2 linked regions of the Macaca fascicularis genome follow. The protein of the gene in region 1 interacts with the protein of each later gene in a pairwise test. Links are inferred from orthologs where the notes say so. Each region holds a gene or a part of one and is shown in the gene's direction. Other genes may lie near its edges.

The links.
Region 2: the proteins of CKS1B (region 1) and MEOX1 interact in binary tests that used the Homo sapiens proteins (3 or more experiments, as listed by UniProt). The two-hybrid records come from large-scale screens. The link is inferred for Macaca fascicularis from reciprocal best matches to the Homo sapiens genes CKS1B and MEOX1.

Annotation. Positions count from the first base shown.
Region 1 is NC_088375.1:106,164,793-106,176,124, reverse strand, and holds CKS1B (cyclin-dependent kinases regulatory subunit 1), read left to right. Parts: upstream 1-3,928; 5' UTR 3,929-3,993; coding exon 3,994-4,052; intron 4,053-7,478; coding exon 7,479-7,606; intron 7,607-8,223; coding exon 8,224-8,276; 3' UTR 8,277-8,748; downstream 8,749-11,332.
Region 2 is NC_088390.1:64,671,932-64,681,889, reverse strand, and holds the end of MEOX1 (homeobox protein MOX-1), read left to right. Parts: intron 1-5,280; coding exon 5,281-5,453; intron 5,454-6,916; coding exon 6,917-7,039; coding exon of another isoform or gene 7,040-7,062; 3' UTR 7,063-8,552; downstream 8,553-9,958. UniProt on the Homo sapiens protein: Mesodermal transcription factor that plays a key role in somitogenesis and is specifically required for sclerotome development. Required for maintenance of the sclerotome polarity and formation of the cranio-cervical joints.

The DNA of each region.
Region 1 (11,332 bases):
CTTCTCTGGCTGAGAAGAGAACAGGCTGGACCCAGAGCTGCCTGGCTCCTCCCCAGGGGCGGAGAGCTAAAGGGAGAGACCAATCACGAGGACAGTGCTGACTCACAGGCTCAGAGGGGCTGAGCCCCCACCCCGCCCCAACCTCGGACTGGAGCAGAGGGTAGGGCTATCCAAGCTCCTCTCCCCTGCCCTACACAAACAACTAGTAATCTGGGGAGAAGGAAAGTGGGGGTGGGAGGGAAGCATGGAGGAGTTGGATGGAAAGAAAGGAGATAGGAGGTCTGGGTCACTCGAAACCGGACACAGGCAGGCCAAAGGGGGCAGGAAGCCAGGCTAGAGTAGAGGGGAATGAGGGAGGAAACAGAGGCAGCTGCGGGTGGAAAAGGGAGGAGATCTCAGAGCTCAGCATTTCCCTTCCTGTTCTGGTTGGACACTCGAATTCCCCACCCTCCAGCCCAGGCCACCCCCAACCACTACCCCATACAGTAAGCCTGGGCCATTAGCATCCTCTGCTACGACAGCTGTGGACTGGAGCTAGCGAAGTGGGGATGGGAAGGAAGTGGTCCCAATGGATGCAGAGCAGGGTCAAGAGGAGAAGCAAAGTTGGTGAAAAAAGGGGAATAAAGTCCAACCTGGATGGTACATCAGGAAGCTACCAGGCAAGAGGGGAACAAGAGGACATGCTGGTCACGGCTTGTTCTCTATGTATGCCATCTACCACACCAAGACCCATGGCTCATAGCCAAGCACTGTCCTCTCCCCTTTCCACAGGCCTTGTTAACACAGCACACTGTCAAGGGTGAGAATGAGGCAATCAGGTCCCCACTCCCACTCCAAACCACCCCAATTCATATCCCTCCTCTTACAGGACCCAAAGCCCCACCAAACAGCACAGTGTCCCTCACACCAGGGGAGGAGCCTGGCTGGAGGAGGTGGAAGAAACAGTTCTCCAAGAGAAGCAGAAACGACAGGCCAGGAAGGGACAGAGAGATCAGAAGACACATCTGTGTCAATAAGAACAGGAGAAAAAACAAGTAAGCACAGGAGAAAGGGGTGTCAGGAGAAGATGGGTTGAAGCTGGACACAGGGAACAGTCCCAAACTCATTCCTGCCACCCACGGCTTCCTGCCACTGCTCTTCTGGAGAATGCCATAGGCAAAGCTGGAAAGCGACCAAAAAACAAAAAACAAGTTAAAGATACATATTCCCGCTGGGTAAGGTGGCTCACACCTGTAATCCCAGCACTTTGGGAGGCCGAGGCGGGTGGATCACCTGAAGTCAGAAGATTGAGACCAGCCTGGTCAACATGGTGAAACCCCGTCTCTACTAAAACTACAAAAATTAGCTGGGCGTGGTGGTGAGCACCTGTAATCCCAGCTCGGGAGGCTGAGGCAGGAGAATCGCTTGAACCCAGGAGGTGGAGGTTGCAGTGAGCTGAGATCGTGCCATTGCACTCCAGCCTGGGTGACAAGAGCAAAACTCTGCCTCAAAAAAAAAAAAAAAAAAAATGTATTCACCCAAGCTCACCTTGGAATTGCCCTTAGATTTACTTCAGAGGATTAAAATATAGATAGATAATTATCCTGATTAACAACATTAACACTTAAAGTGTGTTAGATACTGTGCTTAACTCTTAAATCTCCCCTTAGTGCTCATTCCAGAAGAGCCTTGTCACTCTGTCAGCCAATCCTGAGAAGGAATTTTATCACTTCTTTTCCAGCCAGCTCTCGGGCATAGAGAGAATGAGGAAAGGATTCCACTATAGCCTCACACCCCCAAAACACATAAACACACACTAGGATGTCCTCATCTGTTGAGATGTTCTGTGGGAGCCTGCAGTATCCAGGGCCAGGGAAAGACCAACGGGTGTGGGCGTTTGAAAGAAAAGAAAGAAGTATGACTGTTGAAATGTGCATGGGGAGAAAAGAGATTGCCTACTGGAAGTCAAGGTGATTGGGTGTAGGGAAAAAGCTGTATGTGGCTTCTCAGCCCAACTGGGAGGAGGGGAGAGGGGTGGGAAGTGGCAGGAAATGGCGAAAGCCTCAGGAATGTTTCCAGCAGGGAAGGCTGGGCAAACGGGGCCAGGAGGAATGCCCAGACAAGAACTATGGTTAGGGGGAGGGGAAGAGACAGAGAAGCAGCAACTGAACTGTCCCTTAAAAAAAAAAGAAAAAAATCAAACAACAAAAAGGGCACTATTATCTACCCCCACTCCAAACCACCGTTTTTCTGGTAGAAAACTTGCTCCTGTCACACCCACATGCCACACACCAACAAATCCATGGTCCTATCCACTTATGGATAGGCAGGCCTAGAGCTACTTCTGGGATGGAGTTGGTCCTGGGAAGGGAAGGCCAGGAGATGAGGCTGGGAGTCTGACAGCAAGTCTCTCTCCCTCTGGTGCCAAACCCTAAGTTCAGCCCCTTCAAATAGTTCTACCCTTGGAGGAGGTTAAGAAAGAGGAAAATGGGGCCGGGCGCGGTGGCTCACGCCTGTAATCCCAGCACTTAAGGAGGCTGAGACGGGTGGATCATCTGAGGTCAGGAGTTCGAGGCTAGCCTAGTCAACATGGTGAAACCCCCCTCTCTACTAAAAATACAAAAATTAGCCGGGCGTGGTGGCGGGCGCCTATAATCCCAGCTACTCGGGAGGCTGAGGCAGGAGAATCACTTGAACCCAGGAGGCGGAGGTTGCGGTGAGTCGAGATCGCACCATTGCACTCTAGCCTGGGCAACAAGAGCGAAACTCTGTCTCAAAAAAAACAAAAAGAAAGAAAGAAAAGAAAGAAAGGAAAACGGCTGCCTTTAATCTCACTCTTCACAGTCAGAGATAGGAACTTTGACTTCCCACCTGGGGGAGCACGAGAGTGCTCGGAAAACTGATCCCAAAGCCCAAAAAAAGACAAAGGACAGGAAAATATAAGCAGGTGGAGTTTCAGGGATTGACGACAAGGCTTTACAGCTGATGACCCAGGTCCCACAAAGCTCGTAAGGGGGCGTGGTCCGCCAGGACGCGAACTTCAGACTTCTATGCGGGGAGGCTTTCTGGACAGTCAGACACGGATTACGAACAGGGCGTGGCTTCGGAGGGGCGGAGCCCCGAAGAGGCGTGGCTCCAACAAATTCGAATCGTTCTTTGAGGAGCAGGGTTTTGCCCTTTTGGGAGATAGGCTTTTTGACAGGAGTTAGCAGAGGATCGTTGCTAGGAGGCGGAGTTTCGGAGAATGGAAGGAGTAACCAAGGGTTTCACGTAGTAGGGCTTGGAACGTGTCTGGGGGTGGGACTTCCAGGAAAACTGGGCTACAGGGTGGGGTCGGAGACAAAAAATAAAAATCAAGTCGGGGTTCGGGGGAGCCCCCAGAGGTTGGGAGGTGGGACTTCCGGGGAGAGGGGTCTCAGGGGCGGGACTTACAAATGAAGACCGGAAGTGGGGTCCCGGGAGAGGGGTTCCGGAGTGGAAGAGTGAGTCACCTAAGGAGAAAAAAGTCAAGACTCACCAGGGCCTCATGGAGTCTCCGCACCGCACCGCGGGCCGATTTGGTTCCGGATCACGCCACTGCCAGCTTAGGTTACCGCTCCAACTTTCTCCCCGGGCCCTGCCTCCCTGGAGAAACTTTATTACACTCACTTCCGGCCTCACTAACCCCTGACCCTCTACCTCAGGGTCCCTCCTTCACGCTTCCCACTTTCCCGAGTTAGCCAATGGCAGCGCGAAATCGTGCACAGAGGTAGTGGTGGCCAATAAGACGCCTACTTTCGACCCACGCTCGTTCTTGAGAAACGTAAGAACTGCCCTCCAATAAGGACCCAAGAGAAGTAAATCTAAGCCAATCGGAGGCTTGGAAGTACAGCTGTCCCGCCTTGAGCCAAACGGACCAATAGGAAGTGCGGGCGGCGTGTTTGAAAGCGAGGCCAAAGTGGGTGGGAGCGCGTGCTGCTGGGAGTTGCTTGGAGGTTGGCGGCGCGGGGCTGAAGGCTAGCAAACCGAGCGATCATGTCGCACAAACAGATTTACTATTCGGACAAATACGACGACGAGGAGTTTGAGTATCGGTTAGTGCTGGCGCGGGGGCAACAGCGAGGTCGTGAGCTTTGACCGCTGAGGAAACAAGCAATTAGTAACAGGAACTGAGGCGATAGAATTGGCGCATGCGTACGAGATGTGAACGGGCAAGGGTGTGATATTGGTGGAAGGCGTAAGGCGCATGCGCGGAGGTGGGAGCCTCTCATAAAACAATAAAGTGGTTGCGAATTTGGAGTCTGCCCTCAGTTGAGAGGAGGGAGTGGTAGGCGTGGTTAGAGTACTGACCACCCACACCCATGAGGGTTTCTGGATCATTCTCTGAACTTTATTGGGCAAACTTAACTTGCCTTGTAGAAACTGTTAGTTTTACAGTAATCCTGTGGAATCCAGTGGGAGAACGTAGCAAAAGCGGAGCTTGGAGTTTCCTCGCGTCCCTAATGCGAGAGTAGCGCTGAGAGAGTTGAATATTGCTTATTAACTCGTGAAAAAGACAAGGGGCATGGTTGTCTGGCTTGTGTTAGGAAAGGGACCGCTTGGGACTGAAATGGAATAAAACTGGCTAGGAGCATTGAGAAAATACTTAATATGGGTCTAATAGATGCCCTTTATCAAAGGAAACGGTTACGGAATACTTAACAGGTTTCAGGTGTTCTGCTAAAGTGCAAGGATAACACATGGTCTCTGCTGTTCACAAACTTAAAACTGTGAGTGATACCGACGAACACCAGAAAGGTGATAACACCCTTTGCTAGGAGCCATTACAGGGTGTGATGGGAGCACACGAGACTTGATAAGGAGAGGGAACTGGCGACCCGAAGGCTGCGGCTTCCTAGCTGTGCGCGGGTGTTGGGGTGGGGCTAGAAAGTCAGTCCCCTACTTTTGCTAACTCCAGGACCCCCCCCCACCCCACCCTTCGAGAACCCCCGCCGCCACCGCCTTAGAGGCTGACTTCTTACTTTCGGTCGGTCTTCTTCCCTGGGCTTGGTGTGGGGGCGGGGGAGTGTCCTAAAGGCCAATTCAGTGTGATGACTCTTTCACCACCATTGAAAACGAAACCAGTAGTAAACTAAATACGCGTGTTTTCATTTATATGTCGGAGATGAGAACACTGGGACAGAAAGAGGGGAACAATAGACGTTGGGGCCTACTTGAGGGAGAAGGGTGGGAGGAGGGAGAGGTTCAGGGAAAAAAAAACTGTCGGGTACTATGCTTAGTACCTGGGTCATAAAAGAATCTGTACACCAAACCCCCGAGTCAGGAGTTTACCTATATAACAAACCTGCACACGTACCCTTGAACATGAAACTTAAAATACTGAGAGGAAAAAAAAAGGAAGAGGGAAAGTTGGGGAAAGCTTCCTAGAGGACAGAGCCTGAGATGAGACTCTAAGAAAAAGGTATGTGGGAGAAAGCACCTCTTGACTGAAATTGTTTAGAAGACACTGGATAGCCATCTGCCAAGGGTGGGGATGATGGAATCCTGGCACTGGATACAGCATTCGGGTTTGATAAATTTCAAGTGCATAATCTCGATTGGGAATAAGGGAAGACACAGGACTCCAAAATGTTGGCATTATGCTAATCTACATTGTGATAATTAAGACCACTTCCTGGTTTGTTATCTTGTCTCCTCAGATGGAGAACATAAAATGAAAACTTGCTTTTCTTGTCTCTTCACCCAGCCTAGTTCAGGGCTTTAGGTCTTCAGAGAACTCGATGTGCATTGACACATATATAATCATCTTTATACCAAGACGACTCCAGATCCTCTTTGATATAATTAACTGTCTTTTCCTCAGCTGTTTTCCTCTACATCTGAACTAAACTAACTTAAAACTGTATGTGCTTATAAGAGATTTGCAGAGCTGGGAAGGAATCACCATTTCATCCCCTAGAAGATGAAACTTTTAACTTGGCAATGGCATTTTGGTTTAAGAGGGGTTTTTTGGTCTATGTATTGAAGCCAAATTTTGTGCCAGGGTGGTGTTAGGATGTGAGCTGTTTTCATATATTTGGACTAGAATTTTTTCTTTTAGGAGAATGGGGGGGAAACCACTGTTACTAGCACAGAGAGAGAACTTAGTACATTTTCACTGAGCATGATGAAGACTATCTGGATTAGTTTGAGTCACATCAGGGTAATAATTTCTTTGCCATGAAGGGAGACTTATCCTTGGTTAGAAAAGCACGGAATTTCCCAAAAAAAGTCTCAAGGTACATCCCTCCAGAATTAGGAAGATAAGATTCAGGATAGATTTTTTTTTTTTTTTTTTTTGGAAGAGACAAGGTCTTGCTTTATTGCCCAGACTGGAGTACAGTGGCTATTCACAGGCACAACCATTGTGCACTGCAGCCCTTTTGTCTTTTTTTTTTTTTCTCTTTTTTTTGAGATGGAATCTCACTCTATTGCCCAGATCTCAGCTCACTACAACCTCCGCCTCCTGGACTCAAGGGATTCTCTCCTGCCTCAGCCTCCCAAATAGCTGGGATTACAGGTGCATGCCACCACACCCGGCTCTTTTTTTTGTATTTTTAGTAGAGATGGGGTTTCACGTTGTTGGTCAGGCTGGTCTCAAACTCCTGACCTCAAGTGATCCACCCACCTCAGCCTCCCAAAATGCTAGGATTACAGGCATGAGCCACTGCCCCTGGCCTATTCTGTATTTTAATCAAAGATTTCAAACTTCATACTGTATCTTTGTCAAACTCCTGGGTTCAAATTACTCTCCTGCCTCAGCCTCCCGAGTAGCTGGGACTATAGGTATGTGCCACCATGCCTGGCTTAGATTTTTTTTTTTTTTTTTTTTGAGACGGAGTCTCGCTCTGTCACCCAGGCTGGAGTGCAGTGGCCGGATCTCGGCTCACTGCAAGCTCCGCCTCCCAGGTTCACGCCATTCTCCTGCCTCAGCCTCCCGAGTAGCTGGGACTATAGGCGCCCGCCACCTCGCCCGGCTAGTTTTTTGTATTTTTTAGTAGAGACGGGGTTTCACCGTGTTAGCCAGGATGGTCTCGATCTGCCTGGCTTAGATTTTAAAGGATATTTCATTTCATCCTTTGTGATGACTTGTCCACACAGTACTCCATAAAAGGCGTTTCCTCTCCACAGAATAACTTCTCTTCCTTCCTTCTAATTATTAACACTGTGTGCTCCGTGGGGCTCCCATTATATTGTAGGCAATCAACTAGAAGACTATAAGGTCCATGAAGGCAGAGAAAATGTGCCTGGAACTTAAGTGCTTATTCACTGGAATTATTCACTAATTTGTATTTTTCATATACTCTCAGAATTTATATAACATAGCCTGTATTTCTAGCTGCTGCTACCCCACAATAAAATTATATAAACTCTGACATCAGAAACTAGTTTTTCTTTCCTTTCTTGGCCTTGTAAACAGGCAGTTGTCTGAGACTATATCTGGTACTAACAAATTCGTCACTTCTCCGTTTCTGTTACAGACATGTCATGCTGCCCAAGGACATAGCCAAGCTGGTCCCTAAAACTCATTTGATGTCTGAATCTGAATGGAGGAATCTTGGCGTTCAGCAGAGTCAGGGATGGGTCCATTATATGATCCATGAACCAGGTCAGTGCACTGGCTAAAAACAACCATATAGAACTGCTACACTGAGAGAATGAAGGAATAAGATTGTATAACCCAAATAGGGAGATAGGAAATAGTTTACTGGTTTCTTCCCCCTCTAGTCATGGGGGATTAAAAAAAAAAAAAAAAAACTAGTGACCAAAAATAAGATTAAAATATCTGGGAAGTTCAGAGACAACCTGTCACTAAAAAACCTCCTGTAATCTTCCATGCAATCAGAGGGTATTCTTTTTAAGGCCACATATAGCCTGGTCATAGTCCCTGCCTCATTCTCCATCAGAAAACATTCTTGGATGTATTCCAAATAAGCAAAGGAAAGTATATTTATTGATAAGGCACCAGACACCCAGCTGCCAGGCAAAACTTAATAAAGGACACCCTGGGGCTGTATAAACATAGCAAAAGAACTGATATTAACAATTCTGTATTTGGCAGACAGTCCAGACTTCTGGGTCTGCTTCTCAAGGCCATATGCTTAAGTCTTTATTTAGTTATAAAGATCTGAGTGGGTGATAGCTGGGAAGATGGTAGTGGAATACACTATAGGTTGTACATAGAATGGTGTGCGCTTGTCTCTTAGATTTCCCTCACTCTTTCAGAACCTCACATCTTGCTGTTCCGGCGCCCACTACCCAAGAAGCCAAAGAAATGAAGCTGGCAAGCTACTTTTCAGCCTCAAGCTTTACACAGCTGTCCTTACTTCCTAACATCTTTCTGATAATATTATTATGTTGCCTTCTTGTTTCTCACTTTGATATTTAAAAGATGTTCAATACACTGTTTGAATGTGCTGGTAACTGCTTTGCTTCTTGAGTAGAGCCACCACCACCATAGTCTAGCCAGATGAGTGCTCTGTGGACCCACAGCCTCAGCTGAGTGTGACCCCAGAAGCCACGATGTGCTCTGTATCCAGAACACACTTGGCAGATGGAGGAAGCATCTGAGTTTGAGACCATGGCTGTTAACAGAGATCATGTAAACTTGCTGTTTTTGTTTTTTTCCTGCCGGGTGTTGTATGTATGGTGACTTGTGGATTTATGTTTCAGTGTACTGGAAACTTTCCATTTTATTCAAGAAATCTGTTCATGTTAAAAGCCTTGATTAAAGAGGAAGTTTTTATAATCTAATGCTGTAATTGTAAGGGTTTTTTCCCCTCACTCAGGGTGAGCATCATCAATATCATGGTTCTAATTACATGCCCTTCAGTTTGATAATGAAGCTCAGCTCTTTGCTGATAATGAGGTTTATTTTAACATTCAGATAACTCGTTTTTAATCTACTTTAAGCAGACTTGCTGTCAAACATCTACTGAAACATATTTCACTCTAACTACTGGCCCGAGGTAGAGGTTATATAGGGACAACTTCATCTCATCCAAACAAATGAACTGCTTCCTACAGTCGGGGTGCTGCCTTTAACATAGTCCCAATATTTGAATGGCACACACGGGTAAAAGGATGCTTGTGTGTCCCAATTCCTAATAGGAATAATAGGCACACCTATGACCTATTCACTGTGCCCCTCGGTTGGGGGAGGTTTTCAGCTGTTCTTAACTTTGGTTGGGCATTGGAATCACCTGGGGAGCTTTACAAGTACTGATGCCTGCTTGAGTCATTCTTAAGGATTCTTAATTGGTCTGGAGTGTGGACTGGGGGCAAAGATTTCAGGCATCTTATGCAGGTAGGTAAAGAAGGAAGCTTTGAGAAAACAGGTGCAAAATGTAGCTGTTTAAGAAAACATTCCAGGCCGGGCGTGGTGGCTCATGCCTGTAATCTCAACCCTTTGGGAAGCTAAGGAGGGCAGATCACTTGAGGTCAGGAGTTTGAAACCAGCCTGGCCAACATGGTGAAACCCCATCTCTACTAAAACTACAAAATTAGCCGGGCGTGGTGGCACATGCCTGTAATCCCAGCTACTCGGGAGGCTGAGGTAGGAGAATCACTTGAACCTGGGAGGCAGAGGTTGTAGTAAGCCAAGATCACGCCATTGCGCTTCAGCCTGGGCAACAAGAGTGAAACTCTGTCTTCAAAAAAAATAAAAATAAATTAGCTGGGCGTGGTGTGTGCCTGTAATCCCTGCTACTCAGGAGACTGAGGCGAGAGGATCGCTTGAACCCGAGAGGCAGAGGTGGCAGTAAGTCAAAATCACGCCACTGCACTCAGCCTGGGCGACAGAAGCTGTCTCAATTAAAAAAAGCATTCCACAGAATAATAACTTCCCCTTTAGTCTAACAAAGTAGTAGTACTAAGTAAGGATATTAATCTCCCCCATTTTTTCTGTCTTCCATCCACTTATTCCTAAAATAGCAGGCATCAACATCGGGAAAACTCATTAGAAATGCAAATTATTGGGCTCCAACCTAGACCTAGTGAATCCTAAACCCAGGGTTGGGCACCGGGGCAATGTTTTAACACAAGCTCTCCGACTGATTCTGATGTACACTTACTTAAGCTTGAGAATCCACTGGGAAAATACTGGAACAGACTTGGTATTCTGTTTTGGGAGGGGATCAAATATCACCTGTATTACTAATAAAGATATTGGAACATGTGGTTTACTAGGCAAGTGGAATTCCTGTTTTGCCCCTTTTTTTTTTCAAAGAGCTGACTTTTTATAATTGAAAGAAATGAGGGCCAAGTACGGGGACTCACACCTGTAATCCCAACACTTTGAGAGGCCAAGGCAGGGAATCACTTGAGCCCAGGAATTCAAGACCAGCCTGTGCAACATGACCAAACCCCGTCTCTACTAAAAATACAAAAATTAGCCAGGCATGGTGGGGCGCCCCTGTGGGCCAGCTACTCTGGAGTCTGAGATGGGAGGATCTCTTGAGCCCAGGAGGTCAAGGCTGCAGTGAATGGTGCTTGTGTCACTGCACTCCAGCCTGAGCAACAGAGACTGATTCCAAAAAAAAAAGGGGGGGGGGAGCTTATTACTTGAAAGAATGGTATAGACGTCTGATCACCTGAATCTACCATCCACAGTGTTTTGCGGTTGTGTGGCAAACCTTCACCTTTTTGAGGCTGTTCCTCGTCTGTAAAATTAGCATGATATGTATCTCACAGGGTTTTTTTTTTTCTTTTTGATGGAGTCTCGCTGTCGCCCAGGCTGGACTGCAGTGACACAATCTCGGCTTACTGAAAGCTCCGCCTCCCAGGTTCACACCATTCTTCTGCCTCAGCCTCCCGAGTAGCTGGGACTACAGGCGCCCGCCACCGCGCGCGGCTAATTTTTTGTGTTTTTAGTAGAGACGGGGTTTCTCCATGTTGGTCAGGCTGGTCTCCAACTCCTGACCTCAGGTGATCTGCCCGCCTCGGCCTCCCAAAGTGCTGGGACAAGGTGTGGTTTAGCAGTCTTACAAAGAATGAATTTGGCCGGGCGCGGTGGCTCACGCCTGTAATTACAGCACTTTGGGCGGCCGAGGCGGGTGGATCACGAGATCAGGAGATCGAGATCATCCTGGCTATCACGCTGAAAACCCGTCTCTACTAAAAAAAAAAAAAATATATATATATATATATATATACACACACAAAAAAAAAAAAAAAAAAAAAAAAAATTAGCCGTGCGTGGTGGCGGGCGCCTGTAGTCCCAGCTACTCGGGAGGCTGAGGCAGGAAAATGGCATGAACCCGGGAGGCGGAGCTTGCAGTGAGCCGAGATCGCGCCACTGCACTCCAGCCTGGGTGACAGAGCGAGACTCCGCCTC
Region 2 (9,958 bases), on another chromosome or scaffold:
TTTCCTTCTTTTTTTTTTTTTTTTTTTTTTGAGACGGAGTCTCACTCTATTGCCCAGGCTGGAGTGTAGTGGCACGATCTCGGTTCACTGCAAGCTCCGCCTCCCAGGTTCACGCCATTCTCCTTCCTCAGCCTCCTGAGTAGCTGGGACTACAGGCGCCCACCGCCATGCCCAACTAATTTTTTGTATTTTTAGTAGAGACGGCGTTTCACTGTGTTAGCCAGGATGGTCTCTATCTCCTGACCTTGTGATCCGCCCGCCTCGGCCTCCCAAAGTGCTGGGATTACAAGCGTGAGCCACCACACCTGGCCTAGCAAGAGTTACTTTCATGTGGCAGGTTGCACGAACTATGCCCATGAGCAGGATGACCGAACAGCTCCCAGAAACGGAATGCAAGTGCTCTTAGTGTTTCCATCTTGATGAATATGTTGCAATTTGTAATACTGTTGCAGAACAAAGAGAGCCATAACTTTCACTTCAACTTTCATAGCTTGCTTCCCATACTTCTGGTCCCTTCATCATTTCCAACAGTGGTGAACGTTGATCCCACTCTGGGAAGCTGACAAGGGACAACCGCTCTCCCAGAGCCAATATCCATCCCACCCACCATTAGTAGGTATTGCCCCCAGGTTCACACAGGGGGTTAGCTGAGACCCTCAGTTCCCGCCCTGGCTGCTGCTTCCTGTTTCCTCTGCCCCAGAGGCTAAATCAGGACAATGACAGACAGGAGAGGTGGCCAGGGATGGGGCATAGCTTGGCTGGCAGTGGTCAGCTGCCCTGCCCACACAACCAGGCCAAGACCAACTCCAAAAGGGTCCTCTCCTGCTTTTCCCTTTTCTCTCTAGGGAGGACTATGTGCAGAACTAGGGCGGGGAAAGTTGTTTTGGGGGACACCATGAGGCACCTGTACACACCTAAGCAGGCCTTGGAGAGTAGGTATGGGTAGCAAATCGGATAGTGCCCCCAGGACCTCTGGAAGTGGTGACAAGCCGAGCAGCCATGGTCCAGCTCCAGGCCCCAACCTGGGCCAGCTAGCCAGGAGACAGTGGAGAGCCTTGCTTCTAATCAGATAGATCTGGGTTCAAATCTCCCTTCTGTCACCTAAAAGCTGCCAGGCACACTGGGCAAGTTCCTGGGCCTGTCTGAGGCTGCCTCCTCTGTATAACAGGATGATTTAGCAAATACTTAGCAAGTACTTTTTCCTCTTCTCTCTAGGAGAATTATGTGCAGAACTGGTGGGGGCGGGGTGGGGGGGGGCAGTTGTGCCAGATACAGAAGCAACTATGGCTAGATGCTAGAGTGAGAAAAAGTGTTTCCCTGGGAGACAGCTATTAATCAAATTATCACACAAACCCAGGTAAGAGTACTAAAGGGGGTAAGAACAGTATTCACTCATAGGCTGCCCTGTGGTGAGGTTAAAGCTGCGGATGCCTCTGGGCACACTCAGAAGCCTTCAAGAAGCGCAGCTGTTTCTATCCTAGCCCTTCAGTGTCATCTCGTGGAACTGATAAATTGGAGAATATATTTGTCCAGCATTTTTAGATTTTTTTTTTCTTTTTTGAGAGGGAGTTTTGTTCTTGTTGCCCAGACTGGAGAGCAATGGCGCAATCTGGGCTCAATGCAACCTCCGGTTTCCAGGTTCTAGCGATTCTCCTGCCTCTGCCTCCCGAGTAGCTGGGATTACAGGCATGCACCACCACACTGGGCTAATTTTTTTTGTTTGTTTGTATTTTTAGTAGAGACGGTGTTTCTCCGTGTTGGTCAGGCTGGTCGCGAACTCCCGACCTCAGGTGATCCACCCACCTCGGCTTCCCAAAATGCTGGGATTACAGGCGTGAGCCACCGCTCGTGGCTTTTTTTTTTTTTTTTTTTTTTTTTTTTTTATGATGTATTCTCACTCTGTCACCCAGGCTGGAGTGCAGTGGTGCAATCTCGGCTCACTGCAACCTCCGCCTTCTGGGTTCAAGTGATTCTCCTGCCTCAGCCTCCAGAGTAGCTGGGATTACAGGTGCCCGTCACCACGCCCGGCTAGTTTTTGTATTTTTAGTAGAGACGGGGTTTCACCATGTTGCCCAGGCTGGTCTTGAACTCCTGACCTCAGGTCATCCGCCTGCCTTGGCCTCCTAAAGTGCTGGGATTACAGGCGTGAGCCGCCACTTTTCAACTTTAATAGCATTTTGCACACACATATTAACGCGTTCAGTCTTCCAATAACCCTAGGAGGTAGGTGAAATTGTTTTCCTCAATTTCTTAATGAGGAGACCGACACCCAGAGAAGTTAAGTGATTTCCTCAGTCTCCAGCAAGGAGATTCAGGATTCAAGCCTCTGAGCAAGTCCTCTGGGCCATCCACTCCCCGCAACCGTGGAAAGGAAGGGCTGGGAAACACTGAGCCTCGGGACAGGAGGAGATTGGGAAACCAGTCCCCGACCGCGCCCGTCGTCTAAGCCCAGGTTTCCTGCCTCTCTCCAGGCCCGAGGGCCGGGCTGTGCTACAGGAAGCCCGTCATCCGCTTGTGAACGACCCTCCCGGGCCTGCTGCCAGGAGGGAGCGCGGGACTGGCGGCGGCCAAGGCCGGAGGGCTCCTCGGGGACCCCGGCCCGGGGCTGCGCGTCCTTCCCTCCAGCCCACGCTCCCGCTTCCGGAGGGGTCTGGACCTGCCTTCTCCGGCCTGGAGCTAGAGGCCGCCGGGCAGGCAGCCCGCGCCGGGAACTCGGCCCCCTGCCCTGCTTCCCGGGCGCGCCCCGCGGGCGGCCAACCCGGTTCGGACGCGGACCCCCGGGCCAGGGCGCCACGACACCCCTGACCCAGGCACCGGGACTATCAGGCACCGGGACTATCAGGCCCCTCCCCCGCTTTCTCGGGTTCCCGGAACGGCGGCACCCACTCCCCTTCCATGCCTCGGCGGGGGCCGGGAACGCGCAAAGCGAGGTTGGCCGGGCCAAGTGCCCAAATCACTTTACCGCGCGCGTACTGCTAGAGAGCAGCCCAGCCCGAGGCAGACGGGCGCGGAGGCGGAGGACGCGGAAACTGAAATACAAAGGGATTGAGTGGAAAGCAATAGAGGGAGGTGCTGGGAGGGGAACCAGCTAGGCTCAAAGCTCCAAAGCGGATAGCCGGGTTAATGTGGGGTTTCTGCCTCGCCACCCACTCCCAATGCGGCTGCTTAGCCGACTGCGTAGGCGGCTTCTCTGCATTACACTAGCTGGTCTGAATTCCCCAGCCCAGCCGCCCAGGTAGCTTAAACCCGGCCTCTGAAAACACCGGATCCCTCTTTCCAACACTCCTCTCCAGCAAGGCAGAGATGGGTCTTTCAGGGAGCAGGAAGTTGGGGCGCAGGTTTCGGTAAAGCACCTCACTCGGAGCCACGGTTTCCGTGTCTAAAATTACAATGGGCCGGGCGCGGTGACTTACGCCTGTAATCCCAGCATTTTGGGAGGCCGAGGTGGGCGGATCACGAGGTCAGGAGATAGACAGCATCCTGGCTAACACGGTGAAACCCCGTCTCTACTAAAAATACAAAAAAAAAAAAAAAAAAAAAAAAAAAAAAAAAAATTAGCCGGGCGTGGTGGCAAGCACTTGTAGTCCCAGCTACTCGGGAGGCTGAGGCAGGAGTATGACGTGAACCCGGGAGGAGGAGCTTGCAGTGAGCCGAGCGAGACTCCGTCTCAAAAACAAAAGAAAAAGGAGGACAATGAAGCCAACGACTTTTAAATGTTAAAGCCGCGCACGCATGGCTCCTGCAGCCATTCCCTGGCCATGTGGCATGCATCGCGAGTTAATTGTGTAGGTGTGTGGTCTTCTTCCCACCTCCTCTCCACCCACCACCTCCATTCATTAAAGTGAAGGTAGAGCTGCCTCCCACCCGTCTGCTCAAGAGATAACCATGCAACCCCTTTTATTTGTTCAGGACTTTATCGTTTGTAAGCCCTTCCTATATATATATATATATATATATATATATTTTTTTTTTTTTTTTTTTTTTTTTTTTTTTTTCCCCAAGACGGAGCCTTGCTCTGTCGCCCAGGCTGGAGTGCAATGGCGTGATCTCGGCTCACTGCAGCCTCCGCCTCCTGGGTTCAAGCGATTCTCTTGCCTCAGCCTCCCAAGAAGCTGGGATTACAGGCGCGTGCCACCATGCCCAGCTAACTTTTTGTGTTTTTAGTAGAGACGGGGTTTCACCATGTTGACCAGGCTGGTCTCGAACTCCTGACCTCGTGATCCGCCCACCTTGGCCTCCCAAAGTGCTAGGATTACAGGCGTGAGCCACCGCGCCTGGCCCCTACATATTTTTCATTTGAACAATATGTGTATGTCAAATCGCCTGAATTTGATTCTTGTCTCCCACACCCCCTGGCTGAATAAACTTGGACAATTTGCTTAACTTCTCTGTGTTCATTTTCTGGTCCATAAAGTGAGACTAATACTAGAACCACTTGGTTGGGCTATTGAGGATTAAGAGGCTAATATATGTCAGGTACAGCACCTGGCACAGAGTGTGTTCCCTGACCCTGTTGACAGTTATGACTGAGCCCCACTGAATCTAACATGCAACCTCCTTCAGAGGGGTCCAGATGGTTTTCCAGATTTGGCCCTCTGGGGCAGATTCTGATTCGGTAGGTAGGTATGGGGCAGGCCTGAGATCCTTCAGATCTGAACAGCTCCCTGGTGCTGCTGATGCTGCTGGCACCCAGGCACTCCTTTGAGTGATGAGGTCTTAGAGCGGCGGACTTAAACAGCACCAGAGGCATCTGGAGGGTTTGCAAAAATAGACTGCTGAGCGCCATCCCCAGAGTTTCTGACTCAGTAGGTCTGGAGTGAGACTAGGATTTGCATTCCTAACAATCTCTCAAGTAATGCTGATGCTGCTGATCTGAGGACCATAGTTTGAGGCTTTGTTTTAGAGCATCTCACCCCTCAAGCCTATGACCACAAGTAATGTCATACTGGGGGGTGGGCTGGGGAGTAGAGATCATTAAACAGCCAAGAGTAGCTTCTTGTGCTTTGGGAATAAAAGAAAGTTCCGGGAGGAGGGGCAGGGGACAGCCAAAAAAAAAAAAAAAAAAAAAAAAAAAAAAAAAAAAAAAAAAAAAAAAAACCTTCCCAGTTCTAATATGGGTAAGACACCAGAAGGAATAAAAAGGACAGTGTAGCTTTTTTCTCAGCATCCTGTAAAATTAAGGGAGAGTGGGAAAGACTGCCTAGTTGCTCAAGGGCAAAAGAAAGGGAATGGAATCTCCTTCAGCCCATGTCTTCCTGTTTTGGGGTCCTCTCTCCCCAGACAACCAAGAGAACAGAGGGAAGCCGGAGGGCAGCAGCAAGGCCCGCAAGGAGAGGACGGCCTTCACCAAGGAGCAGCTGCGAGAGCTGGAGGCGGAATTTGCCCATCATAACTACCTGACTCGGCTCCGCAGATACGAGATCGCGGTAAACCTGGACCTCTCTGAGCGCCAGGTGCGCCCCCAGCGGCCCCTCCTCTTATTTGCTCTCCCATCTCCCTCCCTTCCCTCCTTTCCCACCACCACTCCCTTCACCTTCTTTTTCTTCCTCCAGCCAGTCCAGTGGTTTTCAACTGTGGCCATACCTGAGAATAGCCTGGGGAGTTTTGGGTTTTTTTGTTTTTTGTTTTTTGTCTTTTGAGACGGAGTCTCGCTCTGTCACCCAGGCTGGAGTGCAGTGGTGCGTTCTCAGCTCACTGTAACCTCCACCTCCTGGCTTCAAGAAATTCTCCTGCCTTAGCCTCCTGAGTAGCTGGGACTACTGGCATGCGCCATCACGCCTGGCTAATTTTTGTCTTCTTTTTTAGTAGAGGCGGGGTTTCACAATGTTGACCAGGATGGTCTCAAACTCCTGACCTCAGGTGATCCGCCCTCCTCGGCCTCCTAAAGTGCTGGGATTACAGGCGTGAGCTACCATGCCCAACCCCTGGGGAGATTTTAATAGTGCTGATGTCTGGGCTCTACCCCTAGGGATGATTTTAATTGGCCTGGGATGGGATACAGGCCTCAGAATTTTTCAAAGGCCCCCTAGGTGATTCTCATATGCAGTTAGGTTGGGAGCTCTGGTCTGGCTATTCCCAAACTTGAGTATATGTTGGAATCCTCTAAGGCACTTGTTCAAAATATGGATTCCAGAGGTCTGGAGAGAGATTTTACCATAATGAGTGGGCCTGAGAATCTGTATTTCTAGTATGTTCTCTAGGCGATCTGGATATGCAGCTGGTTCCTGGGCACACTTTGAGAAAAACTTCCCTGGCCCTTTGTTTTGGACTTTCCCTTCAGCCACCCCACACCCCCACACCCAGGCTCTGATATGGAATAATAGTAATAATAACAGTAATATTTGATAGCAGATTTCAGTTGATAGAGCGCTCTGCTAGAGGGCTGGATTTTGAATCAGAAGACTTAGATTCAAGTCCTGCCTCTATCACTTCTTCTAGCCCTGGGACCTCTGGGTCTCTATCTGTAAAATGGGACCATAATCCTGCAGGTAATACTCAAGCTTAGATGAGAAAATGTGCTGACCAGAGCTATCTAAACCAAAAAGTTCTCTATAAATGTGCCTAAGGATAAGGCTGATGACCTCTGCTCCCAGACCCTTGGGGAATGGAGGTAGGGCGCAGGGGGACCTGGCACAGGTGGGGCAGGGCATGTGAAGAGGGTGGGGCCAATGCAGAGTGTTTTTAGAACATGTTCCCCTGTCTGGGGCTTTATCCCAAGACACAAGACAGACCTCTGGGCAGATTGGTGTGTCCTCTCTTTGGTCTTAGTTCCTGGGGCGTTTGGGGAGTAGAGAGTGGTAAGTGATGGTTTCAAGCTGGGGTCCCTGGAGTTACACCCTGGCTAGCCTGAGCATTGACATGGGAAGGAGGTCACACCAGCCCTGGAGTGCCCAGGCTCCTTTGCTTCCTCCCCTAGGTCAAAGTGTGGTTCCAGAACCGAAGGATGAAGTGGAAGCGTGTGAAGGGAGGTCAGCCCATCTCCCCCAATGGGCAGGACCCCGAGGATGGGGACTCTGCAGCCTCTCCAAGTTCAGAGTGAGATTCTGCGTGGAGGAAAAATGACTAAGGACTGAGCCCCCTACCCAACTACCCCCACCCCAATGCCACCTTTACCCTCTTCCTTCCCCAGCCGGGGCAGCCTCTCCACATCTTTCACTGACTCTTAGATATGAAACTGCCCAGCATTCCTGGGAGTCTTAGAGTTGTCCAGGAAGTTCTATCCAACCTCTTAGCAGCCTCTTCCCTAGGGCCTTTGCTCCCACACTCTCATGGAATCAGACAGAGATCCTACCAGGCCGGATGAATCTGGAAACAGCTTCAGAGACACTGCTTCTCAGGGTCTCTTGGCTGCCACCCATGCCTCCTCCTACTGCCGTTCTCCTGTGTCAGCCAGGCCTCCTTCTGGTCTGGACACCACCTGGCCTGGTGGGAGAGACGCTTTGGAACCAGCTGGCGACTCGGATAGTAAATGCTTCAAAAGGAAGGAAATGATGGAGACACACGCCCTTGCCCACCTTCCTCTATGGGCTGTACATCTGAGGCTTTGGGGCCCCTTAGTTGTCCCCAAACCCCAAGAAAAATCAGAATGTGGAGAGTCAAGGACAGCAACTCAGCTGCTGCAAGCCAGAAACCCATCCCTATCTCCAAATTTGTTGGCTAAGTGGGGACACTTATAAGCACTGACTAGAGAAGACAGAAAAATAGCCTCATGTAGGTTTCTGTGTCCCCATATAGGCCCGTCCACACAGGCTTGACTGGGTGGACAAGAATGAACCCATGACAGCACCTGCTGCTTCAAAATCAAAATCAATTTAGGGATATAGCAGGGGCTGTTGGGCTGTGCTCCAGAGAAAAGGAGCAGCTACTCCCTTTAAATCCACGATTTGTGGATTGAAAACCTCTCCAGATGCCCAGTTGCTGGGCTGAACAACTATGGGCTGGAAACAACATAGAGTCTAGAAAGTGTCCCCTACATTCTGGAGGGGAGGGGAGATAATAAGGAGGGCTCGGATGAGGGCCTGGAGATGCGGAACCCTGGCATAGAAGGTTCTCTAGCTACAGTGTCCTGTGACTGCAAAGGGGGACGAGAAAATCCCTTTTCCTCCATGGCATGGATTTAAGCTCTTGCTGTGTGTTCTACAAATGCTGTTATTGTGGGAGGAAATGCTAGGTTTTTGTGTGTGGACTGCCCAGACCTCAGCCAGGTCTTCTGGAGATGCCACTTGAGGACTGCTGGCCAAAGAGCATGAGGGACTGAAGCCCTGGCTGCCTCAGCGCTCTGTCTCCCAACACCAGCTGGTGTTGCAGAGGGAGGTCAACGTGAGTTTGGATCTCTTGTACGCAGATGTAATCATTCACATGTAACCCCACCTCTCCACCCCAAAAAGGGCAAGAGCTGTGGAAAATGATTGCCAAATGAGATGGCTGGTTAGAGCATGATTTTTTCTAAAGCATACTTCATGTATTTTCTTAAGATTACATCAAACTAATTGTGCAAGGTCAATTCACTTTGTAAGAAAACTCTTGGAGAAATAAAATCAATAAAAAGCAAAGTTCCCAGGCCTTTTTCTTTGCAGAGCGAACAACAACAGCTCTTGTGTGCAACCTTCTGATTGACCAGACAATGTCTAGAAGCAAGAGAAAACGGCAAGAAATGATCTAGACAGAGCTGTCCCCCTTTAGTTTTTCAAAAGGTAGGTACCAAATATAATTGTTGCCCCCAAATTTTTTTTTCTCCCATGCAAATGCATGGTCTTCATTTCTCATTGTAAAAGTTTAGCTTTCAGTTTCCCTAAACTATGACCTATCAAATAGTCAATGTTTTGTAAACAAAACATTGTTAATAGAGTAATCTTGACCACAAAGTAACCATTCCCAATGTTTAAATTCAAAGTTTGGAGATTTTATTTTTCAAGGTAGAAAAGTGTATATTAATAGTAGTAAAAATGACATAAGAAAAAATATCCCATATTCTCTGTCTTTTTTTTTTTTTTTTTTTTTTTTTTTTGAGACAGAGTTTCACTCTTGTTGCCCAGGCTGGGACGCAATGTCACCATCTTGGCTCACTGCAACCTCCACCTCCTGGGTTCAAGTGATTCTCCTGCCTCAGCCTCCTGAGTAGCTAGAATTACAGGCATGCGCCATCACGCCCAGCTAATTTTTGTATTTTTAGTAGAGATGGGGTTTCTCCATGCTGGCCAGTCTGGTCTCCAGCTCCTGACCTCAGGTGATCCACCTGCATCTGTGTCCCAAAGTGCTGGGATTATAGGCATGAGCCACCACACCTGGCCTCTATGTCCTTTTTTTCTTTTCTTTTCTTTTTTTGAGACAGAGTCTCACTCTGTCGCCCGGGCTGGAATGTAGTGCCATCTCGGCTCACTGTCACTGCAAGCTCTGCCTCAGCCTCCTGAGTAGCTGGGACTACAGGTGCCCGCCACCATGCCTGGCTAATTTTTTTGTATTTTTAGTAGAGACTGGGTTTCGCCATGTTAGCCAGGATGGTCTCAATCTTCTGACCTTGTGATCCACCTGCCTTGGCCTCCCAAAATGCTGAGATTACAGGCATGAGCCACTGCACCTGGCCCTATGTCTTTTTAACTAAAATACAATTTGTCTCACCAAGATATCAACAATGGACAAAACAGGACTGGCTACGGGGAGGTGAGAGAGGGAGGCAGTAGAGGAGACCTGGCCAGAATCTTGCATTGATGCAGCCTGGGCCAGGTGTGGGCAGTGCCTGGAAGTGACATCAGCAGGAGCTGGAATCAGGCAGACCTACCAAAATCAAGGTGCCAAACAGAGGTGGGTTCAGTGGCTCAGGTTCAGGTTCACAGCCAAGCAACATAGACACGCTCAGTCACCCCCATCTACCCTCCTGCTGGAAACTCAACTCCGTGGCTTCAGGGGACATCATCCTCTTCTGGCTTTCCTCATCTGTCCTAGATGTTCCTTCTCTGTC